Alligator mississippiensis: one gene and its partner. The protein of the gene in region 1 interacts with the protein of each later gene in a pairwise test. Links are inferred from orthologs where the notes say so. Each region holds a gene or a part of one and is shown in the gene's direction. Other genes may lie near its edges.

What was found. The genes of interacting proteins can lie anywhere in the genome.
Region 2: the proteins of NPM1 (region 1) and GNL3 interact in a two-hybrid assay, tested with the Homo sapiens proteins (2 studies listed by BioGRID, with this or other methods). The link is inferred for Alligator mississippiensis from reciprocal best matches to the Homo sapiens genes NPM1 and GNL3.

What each region holds. Positions count from the first base shown.
Region 1 is NC_081832.1:47,798,266-47,805,534, reverse strand, and holds the start of NPM1 (nucleophosmin), read left to right. Parts: upstream 1-4,268; 5' UTR 4,269-4,328; coding exon 4,329-4,392; intron 4,393-4,871; coding exon 4,872-4,951; intron 4,952-7,269. UniProt on the Homo sapiens protein: Involved in diverse cellular processes such as ribosome biogenesis, centrosome duplication, protein chaperoning, histone assembly, cell proliferation, and regulation of tumor suppressors p53/TP53 and ARF.
Region 2 is NC_081835.1:38,676,463-38,683,667, reverse strand, and holds the start of GNL3 (guanine nucleotide-binding protein-like 3), read left to right. Parts: upstream 1-4,189; 5' UTR 4,190-4,267; coding exon 4,268-4,280; intron 4,281-4,610; coding exon 4,611-4,669; intron 4,670-7,083; coding exon 7,084-7,205. Other genes in the region: PBRM1 (protein polybromo-1), read right to left, coding at 1-112, 3,581-3,655. UniProt on the Homo sapiens protein: May be required to maintain the proliferative capacity of stem cells. Stabilizes MDM2 by preventing its ubiquitination, and hence proteasomal degradation.

The sequences.
Region 1 (7,269 bases):
GACTGCCAAGGTAGCTACCCTGGTGGTACCTTTTGGTTTAGATTAGCCCTTAGATTAATATCTGGTTTAGATTTTGTGATGTAGCTATGTGAGCTTAAAAAACTTAGTTCTAAGAGTTGTGAACAACCTATATTCATTCATCTTGGCAGGGTGTTAATGTGGATGCCAATGATGAAATGTCATGCAAATGTGGCTGTTGTCAGTTATTTTACTGTTGATCAAAACTGGTAAGAAAGGAGTGGGGAGATTAAATTACACTTCTTGTACTTTTTCTTAAATCTCACTTGTGGAACCAAGAAGCCAGAGGGGAAGATGAGTACCTCCTATTCCCAGGATGCTACCTTTTTAGGGAAATATATTAATGAGATGCAACAGGCAAGGAATGTAAAAAGCAATAAAAAGGAAATTCTCAATTTGGAGAATGGGACTGAGTGCAAGTTTAGCAAATTTTGCAGATGAAACCAAGTTGGGTGGAGCTGCAGATGCACTGGATGGTAGAGCTAGGGTTCAGAATGATCAGGATAAATAGAAGTGGTCCATGATTAATTAAACAAAATTCAATTTAAAGTCTTGCATGTGTGGTGGAATAATTACATGAACAAATATGGACTTGGGGAATATATGGGAGAAGGACCTTGGGGGTGGGAGTTGCAATAAACCGTAAATTGTGAATGAATGTGATCTCTCTGCAAAAAAGCCAACAATATACTGGGTTGTATTGACAGGAGTGTTTCTTGCAAATTCAGGGAAGAGATTGTTCCACTACATTCAGCACTGGTGAGGCTTCATCTGGCATATTGTGTCCAGTTCTTGGTCCCACACTTCCAAGACAGAAGTGGACAGATTGGAAAGTCCAGCAGAGAGCAACAAAAATTATTAGAGGCCTGAAAAACATGACTTATGAGAAAAGGCTGAAAAAACTAGGATTGTTTAGACTAGATAAGAGCTGGGGGGGGATTTGTTTAGTAGTCAAGTATCCAGAAGGCTTTCTGAAAGTTCCAGTATACCTCACTCCAGCATTGCACTGTGCAGGTTGTGTTGGTAAAAAGGCACAAGTTTGTTTTGTCCAGGTGATCATCAGAAGTTAGGTAGGAGTACGATTTAATGACAGAAAAGCGAGAGTATAATGTTGGGTAGCATTATGCACGTTAGGCTAAGTGGGTTTATGTACATTAGGGTAAATCTTAACAGATGTAGTGTTCTTTCTGTGGAGTAGGCTAACTTTCAGTTCCTTAAGGCAGTGTTTCTCAACCTTTTGAGTAGCAACTACCCCTTAACTTCTGAAAGTTCTTAAATAAGTATTCCAACACTCAATTTTCCAGGGGATTTTATATTTACAGACTAATGTGTGCCATATGTTGGAAGAAGGGCTGTGATATGACAGATGTCTGATCTGGTGTGGGTAGGGTTGCCACCTTTTACACCAGGGTTGCACAACTTAAGTATGTACCTGGGCTAGAGGTGATGTTGGCCAAAGCTAGGAGGGCTGAGCCCAGTGCCACGCAAAGTGCGACACACCAAATTATTACTAGGGAATTTAAAGCGCCACACAATGTGCGGCACACCAAATTTTTTGCCATACTTCTGAGAGGAAAAGAGGGTGAGAGACTGACAAGGAGGCAGCTGCTGCCAGCCATGGAGCCCAGGCTGTTCCAAACAGGCAGCTGGGAGGCTGCAAGTCCTGTTGCAAGCACCCTGGGCTCTGTGGCTGGCAGCAGCTACCCTGAGCCTGGGCTGGCTGCAGCCAGGAGGCTGCAAAGAGCTGCTCTGGGCTTCACCATTGTGTGCCTTGGAGCAGAGCAGCCGGTGGGGGGGCCCTGAGGCAGCGCAGAGAAAAGCTCAGTGCCACCCCTGACCCCTGCCTGTAGCCAGCCTGGGCTCTGGGCAGCCGCAGTGGGCAGGCTGCAAACAGCTGCACCGGGCTCTGCAGCCCTGGCATCTGCTCCATTCCAGTGACTGTGTGTGTGCCTCAGAACAGAGACTTGGGGATAGGGTCTGAGGCAGTGCAACCCTCCCCTGCTGTCTGCTCTGAGGTGCAGAGCCCGGTGCAGCTGCTTGCTGCAGCTGCCGAGCCCAGGCTGGCTACAGGCTGAAGTCGATGGTGGCACTAGGCTTTCCCGGTGTTCAGTGATGACACTGGAGGGCAGTTTGGGGAGGGCTACAGTGAATTTTGGGAGGGGGGCTGCTGCCACCCCATCACCGCAGCCCGCCCTGAGTGCCGGGAAGAGCCCGGTGCCGCCACTAGCCCCAGCCTACAGTGGCAGCCTGCTCCCTCCTGCGCAGAGTGAACTGGGCCCCAGGCAGGCCAGGTCATGGGGCAGTTCCCACAGTGCAGGAGAGTGGGGAAGTGCCTTGCCCCTACTGTACTCCCCCCTGCATTGTGTGGGTTTGCCCCCCCCCCAAGCCCAGACAGGATAAAGAAACTTACCTGCCTGTGGCTGAGTCAGTGGGGAGTGCGTGGGTATGTGTGTGCCTGTGGCCGGCTTGGGGAGGTGGGGGCAGCAAGCAGCTGGACGCGAACCCAGTGGCAGCGGAGGGAGTGGTGGCGCCCCCTTACTACAGGGGTTTTGGTGCCTGTGTACCCCCTGCCTGTGCCTTGTGTATCCCCAGAGGTACATGTACCACAGGCTGAGAAACTATGCCTTTAAGGCAGGCAAAATCTCCAAGTAGTAGCAAATAAGAGTGGGCTGAGTTGACACTTGAGCAGAACTTGCATACAGAGCAGAGATGCTCGCATTGAGCTAAATGGGCCACTTCACAAAAAGGGATGTTCTGTACTGACTAAATCCATGCATATGAATACAGGTTGAAACAACAGTTGTGAAATGTGTGAAGTGCTCCATTCATCTCAGTGGGTGTTTTCACCCATCTCCCTCCAGTGAGTGCTTCAGAACCTAAGTTTAGCAAAAATGTTTGTCTTCCTCATGCTTTCAGCTTCCTCCTCAGAAGTGTTTTTCAGATGTCGGCTCACTGGGGAGGCATGGATGAGACCTGAACCACACCAGAGTAGCATGATTTATCCAAATGCTGGTTCATATAGAGCAAAGGGTGCAGACCCCTTCAAGTGCCAGCCTCCTCTCACTCTGCTGTGTGCTGAAATGAGTGGGGCTAACCACTCCCCATGGACAGCCCTGTAGATAATATGTAGGGGAGACTGGGAAAGTATTTTATCTTAGGGCCAGAAGTCCCATGTGGCTACCAGGTACTAGTGTTACAACACTCCCTACTCCAATGTCCCCTCAGGTACTACTCCCTCTGGCCTATGACTTCCAAAAGCTTGCTCCTTCCCTATCACTCATCCCCATGTATCCTTTTCGTAACCCCCCTCTGCCTTTTAACATCATCTCCTAAACTAGAGGTTGGCAACATTTTTGGGCAGAGTGCCAAAGACACCAGCAACCTGTAAGATGTTGGCAAGCAGGGATGGACAGCCGGGGAGCTGCAGCGGGCCCAATCTTTGTTGTGGCAGCTCAGCCCTGACATCTTCCCTGCTGTCTGCCCCAAACTGCATGTGCAGACTGGGCCAGGTCTCTCTGGATGCCAGTGCAGCTGTGTGCAGCCTCCCGGCTGCCTGCCAAGCTAGTCCCAGGCTCTGGGCAGGCCTCTGCCACGGGGCTGCTTGCAGCAGGCAGTGGACAAGCTGCAAGCAGATGTGCTGGGGTCTGCAGAGCCCCGGCCCAGCTTGTTGCTGGCAGCGGGTGCTCGAGGCCTTGAGGCAGAGGGTGGGCAAGGGGCCGGGGCCCTCGCAGCTCCCCTGCCTGTGCCCCAGGTGCGTGGGCCGAGCAGCGTGGCTGTGTGCGTCGTGCTGGGGCTTACCTACCCATGTCCTAACCCCCCTCTTCTCCCAGGGCACAAGCCAGGGTGCCAGACCGATTTTCTCTCGCAGCGGTGTGGGTGGGGCCGAGCGTGGCGCCGTGAGAATCGTCTCAGAATAATTAAAAAAAAAAAGGGCAGCTGGAAGGCAGCTGCGGCACGTGCGCCCTGCGCTGCCTTTCTACGGGGCTCCCTGTGTCTCGGGTTCCGGTGGCCGCGACGTAGACGCAGGCCGGGCTTAGTCCCGGGAGCCCCCGCCCCGGGAGAGGCCGCGCGGACGCCCCGGGGCCGCCCGAGCGCGGGGCTGATGCACGTAGCCACCGGCGGGGGCCTGGCGGCGGGAGGACAGGGGGCAGGAAGTGCCAGGCGCCTGCGCCGAGGGTCGCGCGGGGGCGGGGCCCGGCGCCGCTCTCGCGAGACCTCCGGGCTATAAGTGCGGGGCGGCGCGCAAGCTTCCCCCCTCAGTGCGATTCCGTCCGGGGCGCAGCGCCGCCGCCGTTGCCGCCGCCGAAAAGATGGAGGACAGCGCCATGGACGTGGAGAGCATGGGCCCGCTGCGCCCGCAGACCTTCCTCTTCGGTAACGCGCGGGCGGGCCGGGCCGATGGGCCCTGCGGCTGCTTCCCGCGCGGTCGGGCCCGGCGGCGGCTGCATCCGCGCGGCTGGGCCGGGGGCGGGGCGGGCGCGGCGGGCTCGTGCGGCAGGCGCCGCCCCCTCCCCCCCGCACGTGGCGGCCGCGAGCACGTGGCGGCGCCGGGGCCTGCAGCCCCTGCCGGGCCCGGCCGCGCTTTGTGCCGCGAGGGCGGCGGCTCCTGCCCGAGCGCACGTGGCGGCGGCAGGCGGGGCTGGCATCGCCGCAGGCTCCGGGGACGGGGGCCGTGGTGCTACCGCGGCTGCGGGCGGTTCTTTGGCGCGGGAAAGCCCCGCGAAGCGCGTGGCCTGCAGAGGCGGCGCCGCTGGGCTGGGCCGGGCCGGGCCGGGTCTCGAGCCCCGCGCGGGGAAGGGGTGAGCTCGTGGTCCCAGACGAGCTTGTGACGTCTTCTTCTCTCCTACCCCCAGGCTGCGAGCTGAAGGCGGACAAGGACTTCCACTTCAAAGTGAACGACGAAGAGAACGAACACCAGCTGTCGCTGAGGACGGTAGGGCTGGGCTGGGCGGGAGGGCCTGAGGGGAGGGTTTTTGCTGCAGGATCTGGGGACCACAGCCCAGTTCTTGAAGCCAGCAACAATTCTCCATAGCTTGTTGCTGGACTTTGCTGATGGGTGCCCAGATGTGAACAAGTTTGCACTGGCTGCTTCACAAGCTTGGGTTTGCCCCAGTTGGTTGCCCAGAATTAGGTCTTCATTGGGGCTTTTTGGGGTCAGTGGCCTCATTTCAGTGGATGGTTGTTGGAAATCGGGGAAATACTGAAATGGGAACACTGTTATAGCCACGATGGTGCAAGAGCTGTAGGAGTAAGGCTTTTCTGTGATGCTTTTTTCTGGACCCAAATATACATTTGGGAGAGCTGTTGTGTAAGCTTGGGCATCAGGTGCCCTTTAATGCCCACTCCTGCACCTGAAATTTTTTAGCATAGAAGATGAAGAAAGAGGGATAGGGCAGGTCACTTCCTGTCTACTTAGAAAACTGGAATTTGGATTGCAGTGAATAGATAAGTGTTGATGGGGACATGGCTAAAACGGTAAAAAAGCAAAGAAATAAGTACCTCAGGTGGCTGGGAAATGAATGGTGAGAGAGAGAGGCAAGTAGAAAACTTGTAGCAGTCATCCAGTGGCAAGGAGAGAGGTCCTAGAGAAAAAAGTTAATGCATTTAACAAGTGACCATCATTCGGGTCTGTCACTTTTTTCTATATTCAGAAAAATATCAGAAGGGAAGGTTGACATTAAAAAGGAAGAAAAGGGAGCAAGTTGCAAGCTAGTAAAAGTTCTATATTTGCTAGAGTAAAAGGTCAATTTGTGCCAGAGGATCTAGATTGGTGTAGGGGATGCAGGTGGTGGGGGAAAATGGTGTTTAAAAGTGGCTGGGTAATGTGCCAACAGATATTTTGCTGGCTTTGTAATAAAAGTTTCTGAGTCCAATGAATAAACAAAGTGGCAAAAAAGGCTTTTTAGGTCCTTCATGTTGTTCCTGGGTTTACATAGGTCAGTCAAATAGCTTATTCAAAATTTACAGTTATCAGTTCGTGGCTACCAGTTTGCTTTTCAGCTCTCAACAGGAAAATGGAGGTTCTCTGTATTGCATGTTATATGTAACTTGTGGGGGTGCACTGATATTGATTTTGGGGGCCAGTACCAGTAACTGATGGGCATTGGGGAGGGCTATGGTGAAATTTGGGGTGGCTGCAGCCTCCTCCCATGCACGGTGTAGCCCAGCCCCCCTGATGTACCTCTAGTGACTTGCATTACATATATAGTTGTTGTGTTTAATGCGCACATCTATCTACAATACCCCCACGTAAAATGTATACAGCTTGGTCATCCAGAAAACAAATAATAGCTTTAATTAGATCTTGTAACGGATACAAGTGAAGCCATGTGCCAAGTATCCCTGGATACAGATCTTGTCTGGTACTGGCTAGCTGTTCCACCAGCTGAAATACACAGATCTACTCTAGAGAGCAAATGAGGTGAAATGCATGTGTTTTCATTTGTCAACACATCCATGCAGGTACTGTTACATACAGGTAAAGGCAGGATAGTTTTCCTCTGGTATCTAGCTTCTGCTTGCTTTTTTGTAACTATCTGCATTATGTATATCCTTGTTCCTAAAATAGCATCCATCTCCCAACAAATTTACTTGATCTATGACAGGTTTGTCCAACATATGGCCTGTGGGCTGCCATGCAGCCCGCCAAGCCATTTTCTGAAGCCAGAGGTGCTTCGACAGGAAATGAAAGTAAACACTGTTTACTTTTGTTTCTACCCCTTGTCCCTCGCCCAGCCTCTCAGCAGCTTCCTAATGGCTACTGACGGGCTGGGGAAGGGACTGGGTTCCCACATGCCCCACTTCAGCTAGACGTTGCTGATGTGGTGTGGCTCTTCCCCATCCCCCTCATTTCACGGTGTCCCTTCCTAGCCCCTCCCCTCCCTTCCTCATTTGCATGCCAGCCCTGCCCTGTGCTGGTCCCCGCTGGCTGCGCGGGCTGGAGCAGGTTGCTGTGCAGGAGGCGGCTTCACGGGGCGCGGATGCCGGCTTGGAGGGATGCTGTGGCCGGGTCCGCAGGAGATGCTGCTGCCACTGCTGCTGTGGCTGTTCGGGCGGAAAGCTGGCACGGCTCCCACATCCCCCTGCGCCCGCAGGCATTGCGCTGGGGGTCGTGAGTTGCAGGCCCGGGGGAGGGAGGGAGCCCTGCTGGTTGGGCTTGGGCTGCCCCAGGGGAGAGGGAGCAGGGGGGTGTCCCTGCATGTCCCCGTAGAGTCCCCGCATGTTTTCCTGGCTGCTGAGCCCGGGCACGTG
Region 2 (7,205 bases), on another chromosome or scaffold:
TCGGGCCTGGTGTATTTGTTGAGTGGTGACCATCATCAAAATCTCCTCCACTGACACTGCTGGAAGGAGAAGTAGCCCTTCGCCTCTTGGAACCCATGGAATCCAACTTCTTCTATAATGAAGAAAGATGTTCTTAAACTTAAGGCATTGTACACAAGTTTTCTGGTGACAGCTAACTACTGACTATCAGTTAAGGGTATATAGAGTCAGGAACATTTGCAACAATTTACTTATGCATTGTTACCTAATGAGATTATTATTAAGTAAACTTTCAGAGTTGCATTAGTGGTTTAAGTCTATAAAATAGCACTGTTGCACACAGGTCAAGGAAAGTTATTATTTCCCTCTATTCAGCACTGGTGAGGCCACATCTGGAGTACCAAGTACAGTTTTGGGTACTCCACTACAGAAAGGATGTGGACAAATCGGAGAAAGATCAGCAGAGGGTAACAAAAATGGTGAGGGAGGCTGGGGGATCATGACTTATGAGGAAAGACTGAGGGAACAGGGCTTATTTAGTCTAGTGAAGAGAAGACTGAGAGAGGATTTAATAGCAGCCTTCAACTACCTGAAGAGGTATTTGAAAGAGGGTGGAGCTAGGCTGTTTTCACTGGTGGTCAATGATAGAACAAGGAGCAACGGTCTCAAGTTCCAGCAAGGGAAGTTTAGGTTAGATATTAGGAAAATTTCTCTCACTAGTGTTCTAGTAAAACACTGGAACAGGTTATCAGAGAGGTGGTAGAATCTCCAACCTTGGAAGTGTGTACCTCCCAGGTTACAGAAGTTTTATAAACCCGATTAGACAAAGCTTTGGCTAGGATGATCTAGTTGGGGATGGTCCTGCTTTGAACAGGGGGCTGGACTAGATGAAGTCCCTTCTAACCCTAATTTTCTATGATTCTATGAATCAAATACATTTTGAATTATATACTGCTACCCATCCCTGCAGGGCTGGGGACTTGCACAAAGTGCTGCAATTATCTAGCAGTTACTAGGATGTTTTTTTAAACTATAAAAGCTTATGACTCCTCATTCCAAAATAATGATAAGATGTATTGTCATGATACATGAGAAGTTCAGAGATAGTTTTACAACTCTGATAAGCTAAAAACCAAAACATACAGTTAATGCAACTAAGAGTAAAATCACAACTGCTATGTAATATCTAGTCCCAGAATCACAAAAACAAACAGACAAACAAAGGATTTGGGCCACAATACAGGTAAATTTGGTTGCATTCTCAAGCTACATCATTCTCACTTGAAAATTAGGACTGAGTGCAAATTGGATCACTCAAGGAGTCTTCTCTTTTTGTCCCTGGTCTGAATTTATTAACATCACTATTGACTGAAATTATTAGGCATCCAGCAACTACTGAGTTTACTATGAAACATATTGCTGGATCCTGCCAAAATGTTAATGGCAAGGTGTCACTATTACAAAAAAAATATTTCCAGTGTCACCCATGCTCTTTTCACTTTAACAATGTATTTTTCTGTTATATAATCTACAGTTTATATAAGGTGAAGTAGTGACATAGCTATGTTCATGTTTATTCCAGTGAACAATTCATTACAAGTAAACAAACAAGATGAATGAGCATGAGGTTGGATTCACTAAGGCTAAGATAAAGAAAAATAAAAGGCCAGGCAGGGGAAAGGAAGAAGGGTGTGTATATGATCAATAATTTACCAGATTTACCAGAGTACAACCAGCACCTCGAAAAGCCAGTCTCCTCATTGTGTCCAATGGTCAGGTTAAAGTACTAAGAGATGGCAAGTCTTTGAAAATGTCAAATCAGCAATTGCATTAATAGCCAAAGCTGAAAGAGAAGAAAAATGAGAGAAAAAACAGAAGAGGGGAAAGGTTAAAAGGAGAGAGTAGAGAGAAAAAGAATTTAAGAATAACAGTTGAGAAAAGCCATCACAAAGGCTGGAGAAAAGAGGAAACATAAATTTGGAGGGGGTTATCAAAAACTAAAGGTTTTCTGCATACGCAAAGCATATACATTTCTGGAACTTTTAACTAAAATGTTTAAATGCTACTATAATGTGAGCCATTCACTAGCCCGAGTAATGCAAGTATCACTTCATCTAGTAGCCTAAGTGTAAGAGGGAGTAAGTGGAAACTGTAAGTTGATGGTACTATAAAAAAGTAGTACAGTGACAGTAAAAAGAAGAAAAAAAAAGTCTTACAACCCTAAGTTACTAGGCAGACTTGTAGCAATGACCCACACCATCAAGACTCTCCGGAAATTGCTGATTCTACTTTATTAAGCCTTAATTTAACCCCCGTTCAAAAACCTTCAGCTATATCCCTATTGCATGACAGATTTTCAACATATCATACCATGAAATAATGAGCTTGATTAAACACAGATCTACTAAAATCAAAAGTGTATCAAGTCCAGCATGGAAAATATTAATCTATACAGTTTTGTCAGCAGTGAATACCTGTTCTAAAACTGTTCTTCTAAAAAAACTGTATTCAAAGAACCAAAAAGAATAAAATGATTTTTACTCATCTAGTATGTAGTACTTTATCATTTGGAATCAAAATATTTCATGTATCCTTGAATAATGCACCAAGTACTAGTGTATCTCCACTAGAAAATTGGTCCTTATATGAAGCAAAGGATCTTGAGGACTATAAAATAATCTGATGGGATTCAAGTACAGCATCTCCACACCACTTATACAATACTAGTAAATCCTAGCCATTATATTTTTTTAAACTTCTTTAAAAGGTTAGGCACCTGAAGACCCCACCTACAGGCAGTCACTGAAGAAAATTTCTCTTCCTAATACTAAAACATAATTTCTTCTAACAATATCTGAGGATGTAATATTCTGATGTACTCCATTAAGGTCCCACACATCTATTATCAAAAGTAATCCCCATGTAAGAATACTGTTTCTACACATCTTTAAAATATTTTTAAAAGGAGCTGAAAAGTGTTTTTTAAAAGTCTAAATTTTTACGTACCCTTCAGAGTAGCTAATCAAAGCATGTATATAGATGCCACAAAAACTATTTTTGAAAGTTCCCTGGATTTCTATAAAACCATTCAACAGATAGTTGACAAACACAACAAAATGATGGGGAGAGAATGTACCATATACTGTCCTGCAGCATTACTGACAAGACTAAAACTGTGTTGTAACCTGGGAAAGCATGTCAGAGGGTTGTTTCAGAGGATAAAGCAGGAAAGAAGTTAGCTAGGCCGCACAGTTGTCTCCTCAGCCTTGGAGAAAGAAGTGTACAAGACAGATAACAAGTACACAAAACAGAGGCTTGTCCCAGTTTAATTCTTCTCCTACCAAACGCTGCAGGACTCTGTTGCTCCCGTGGCAGGTTCCGGCAGCAGCGGCACTACTGTGACAAGACGGAACAAACTTTGAAGGGAAGCGCCGCTTCCCTGGGGCCACGCACGTCTTCGGGGCCTTGCACAGCCGTGGCAAGTGCGCTCTACCCTGCTGCCCGCCCCGACCCCGCGCATCGCCAGAGTGCACCGGACCCCTCACATCGCCGGAGACGTCAAGGCGTCGCGGCCGGTCCCTTCCCAGCCCCCGGCTGTCACCTGCGCTAGCGGCAGCAGAGCCCGCCTGCCCATCCCGGGGCCACCGACAGCAAACCGCGTGACAGCACCGGGCATCGAGGCTCCCGGCGGCGGCGGGGCTTCTCCCTGCGCTGACAGCCCCCGCCACCGCCCCGGCCGGAGCAGGAGCCTCGTGGAAGCACTGCGGCAACGCGTCTCCCGCGGGGGAATCGCCCCTCAAGACACGGGGCCAGCCCGGCGCGGCCGGCAGCGGGGGGCCCTCGGCAGTCCCGTGGCGCGGGGCGGGGGGTCGCCGCGCGAGGGCGGGCACCGCCGCCGCCACGAGCGGGCAGGGCGGCCACACAAAGGGAAGCAGAGGCCTCCCGGCTACCGGGCCCAGCCTCGCCCCGCCCCGCCCCGTCCCGCCCCGCCTCGGCGCACCACCTCACCGCTCACTCCCTCACCCACCCAGGCAGCTCCGCTCTGCCGCCCGCTACTGCGGCCGCACTCGCCCACCGCTGCCGCCCTGCCGGCACAGCCGCTGTCGCCCCTCACCACCGACCCTGCCGCTGCCGTAAAGCCCGCCCGGCCGCCGAGCGAGCCCGCCAGCGCGACAACCCGTGCAGCGCCTAGGGGCGGGACGCGGAAGGGGCGGGCGGTGCGCTTTACGGCAGAGCCGCCAGGTTCGGCTCCGCCGCCTGCACGCGGGGTGAGCGCGCGGCAGCAGCCATGAAGAGGCCTAGTGAGTGCGGGGCGCTGGCGCCGCCTGGCCGCGCGGCCCGGGAACGGGAGTGGGAGCGGGAGCGAGGCTGTGGCAGGGGCCAGCGACTGGGGGCCGTGGCCGTGGGAGGTTCGGGCGGGGCCGGGACTGGGGCGCGCGGTAGTGGGGGCCGGGCCAGGCCGGGCGGTCGCGATCAATCGGAGGCTGTAGCAACGTGGGGCCGGGACTCCGTGCCCAAGACCTGTGGCCGAGGCCCGGCCACACTCGGGCGCCCGTGGCCCGCGACATCATCGGGTGCTGATAGGCGGCGGCCTTCGTCTGCCCTCTGTTAATGGCGTGTCCTGATTGCAGAGCTTCGGAAGGGCAGCAAGCGCCTGACCTGCCACAAGCGGTACAAGATCCAGAGGAAGGTGGGTCACCAAGCGGGAGCGGTCGGATTCAAGGGACCAGTTTCTGCCCCAAGCACAGCATAGGCAGGCGGGAGGGGGAAGGCAAGCAGGAAAGCTCAGGCCAGGTCTTCGCTGCCCGGCTTCCCGAGGGCTTTGGGCTGCAAAGCACTACGTGGAGCCTCATTGTGTTCAGCTACATCGAAGTCCTGAACAGACTTGTTGCATTTGCAGGGGAGGGCTGTACACTGTTCAGCACTCACCTACACGTTCCCCAGCTGGGGCCCCGTAGTGCAGCTCCTAGTTCTTTCACACCGCACATGTTCATGGTTCCACTGTTTGTCTAGGGCAGTGGGGCTCAGTAGGGCTGTCCAAAATTTCAACTGGTGTTTTATTTTGAAGCTGTTTCGGCGCCTTTTAGCTTGGGACAGTGAAATCGAAATGAAACAACAGGCTTTGAAATGAAATGAGGGCACCCAAAATGTTTCAAGTTTCAAAGCAGCCCAGTGGCGGGAGGTGGGGGAGAGCTAGGGCTGTACTCCGAGCAGCTCCGCAAGCCCCACGAAGCTCAGCCCAGCAGCAGGAGAGCCAGTGGTGGAGCTGCTCTGAGCGCAGCCTTTGTTCTGAGCGCAGCCCTGGCCAGTGGCTCTCCCCTCCTTCCCGCTGCTAGGCTCAACTCTGTGGGGCTGCAGAGCCTCTTGCTGCCAGGCTACGCTCAGAGCGTCTCTGCCACTGGATCTCCCTGCCTCCTGCTGCCAGGCTGCACTTTGAGTGGCTCCACCAGCTCCATGGAGCTCAACCTGCTCTCTCAGCGCTGCCAGACTCCTTCCAGGGGTCTGGACCCCCAGATCTGAGGTATTTCTAATGTGCTGCGTTATCAAGAGCTCTAACATAGGGCTGTCTTCTAAGTAGCAGAGGGTTTCAGACCTTGCACCAGCACAAGCAATAGGCTGCATGCTGTGGGGGGGGAAATGCTGGCATGGCATTTTTTTTGGCTGATAAAGTCACTGATAAATTCTGTGTTTATGGCATGCATGGGGCTAGGAATACAGCCCAGCAGCTTAGAGAGCAGCCTCCTGCTGGTAAGCCTGGGTGGGGAAGGAAATTGAGGCTCCCAGGGTGAGGGAGGGATGGGGCAGGTGCTGCCCCATCCAGGGTGGTGAATGCAACCCTGGGGCATGTGGTGGAGCCACGCACTGCCATTCCAGAGGGCGGGGGGGATGGCTTCCTGCCGCTGTGCTCACCCTTGGGAAAGGCATGGGGGCATGTGCTGCCCCAGATTTGTATGCAGGGCGAGGGCAGGCTGCCCACTGCAGGCTTGGAGCCAGAGCTGCACTGGGGTGGGGTGGGGTGGGGTGGGCTCAGCTGTGGGGGTACAGGTAGCAGCACTGAGAGTGGACTTTGGGGACTATGGCCATCCCCAAATTCCCCATAGCCACCCTTCCCAGCACTGCTGCTGCCTGCCCCGCACAGCTGAGCCCACCCCACCCCCACCTACCCCAAGTGGAGCCCTGGCCCAGCCTCCACCTTGGGGAAGAGGCTGGTGCAGATGCTGAACCCTAGTGCACAGCGGGCAGCCCATCTTCACCCCCTGCACAAATCTCGGGGGGCACATGCCCCTCATGCCTCCCCCTAGGGGTGCGCACAGTGGCAGGGGGGAGTCCCTGCTCTGCACCCCCTAGATGAGCTACCCACGGCTCTGCCTCGCCCTGGGGTTGCATCCGCCACCCTGGGTGGGCAGCACCTGACCCATCCCTCCCTCACCCTGGGGGCCTTGATTTCTCCCCCCCCCCCCCCCCCCAACCTACCAACAGGATGCTGCTCTCCAAGCTTCAGGGCTGCATTCCTGGCCCAGTACTTGACATGCACGCAGCATTTATTGGTGGTATTATGGGCCAAAAAAAAGCTGAAGGCTGATAATGTTATTTTTTCTGTTATCAGTGCTGATCCAATATGCGACTGATATATCAGTGCACCTCTAGTCTTTACCTCCTTGCAGAGGGGCTGGGACATGGGGGTGGGATAATTACTTAGATCGGCATTAGCCTGAGCCTGAGTTAATCTACCTAGTTTATCTTATCATGAGGGAATGCTCAGAGGATCTGGCAGTACTCCAGGGTGTCCCATCGCCCTGGCTGAGAATCATTGCAGTAGAGGTTATTTTAAGTGGATATGGGAGTCTGAACGGTGCTTGAAAATTGCCTTCAAGTATATTGTAAAGAACAGATCTTCATTGGGAGGGGCAGTGGCACAGATGATGTAATACTGTAGATCTTTTGAATTTTAAGTTTGTAATACTTAGGATTCATTAATTTAGCTATAGCTACATGCGTGTTGATTTTGCAATTAAAAATCTTTCTCTGGCCACATACTTATATGTAGGCATTTAGCTTTTCCTATTAAACTGAATTCCAATATATATTCTTTCTTGATTACAGGTACGGGAACACAAGAGAAAACTCAGGAAAGAAGCCAAGAAGCGTGGAAACAAAAAGCCCCGAAAAGATCCAGGGGTTCCCAGTGCTGCACCATTCAAGGAGGAAGTTCTTCGTGAAGCTGA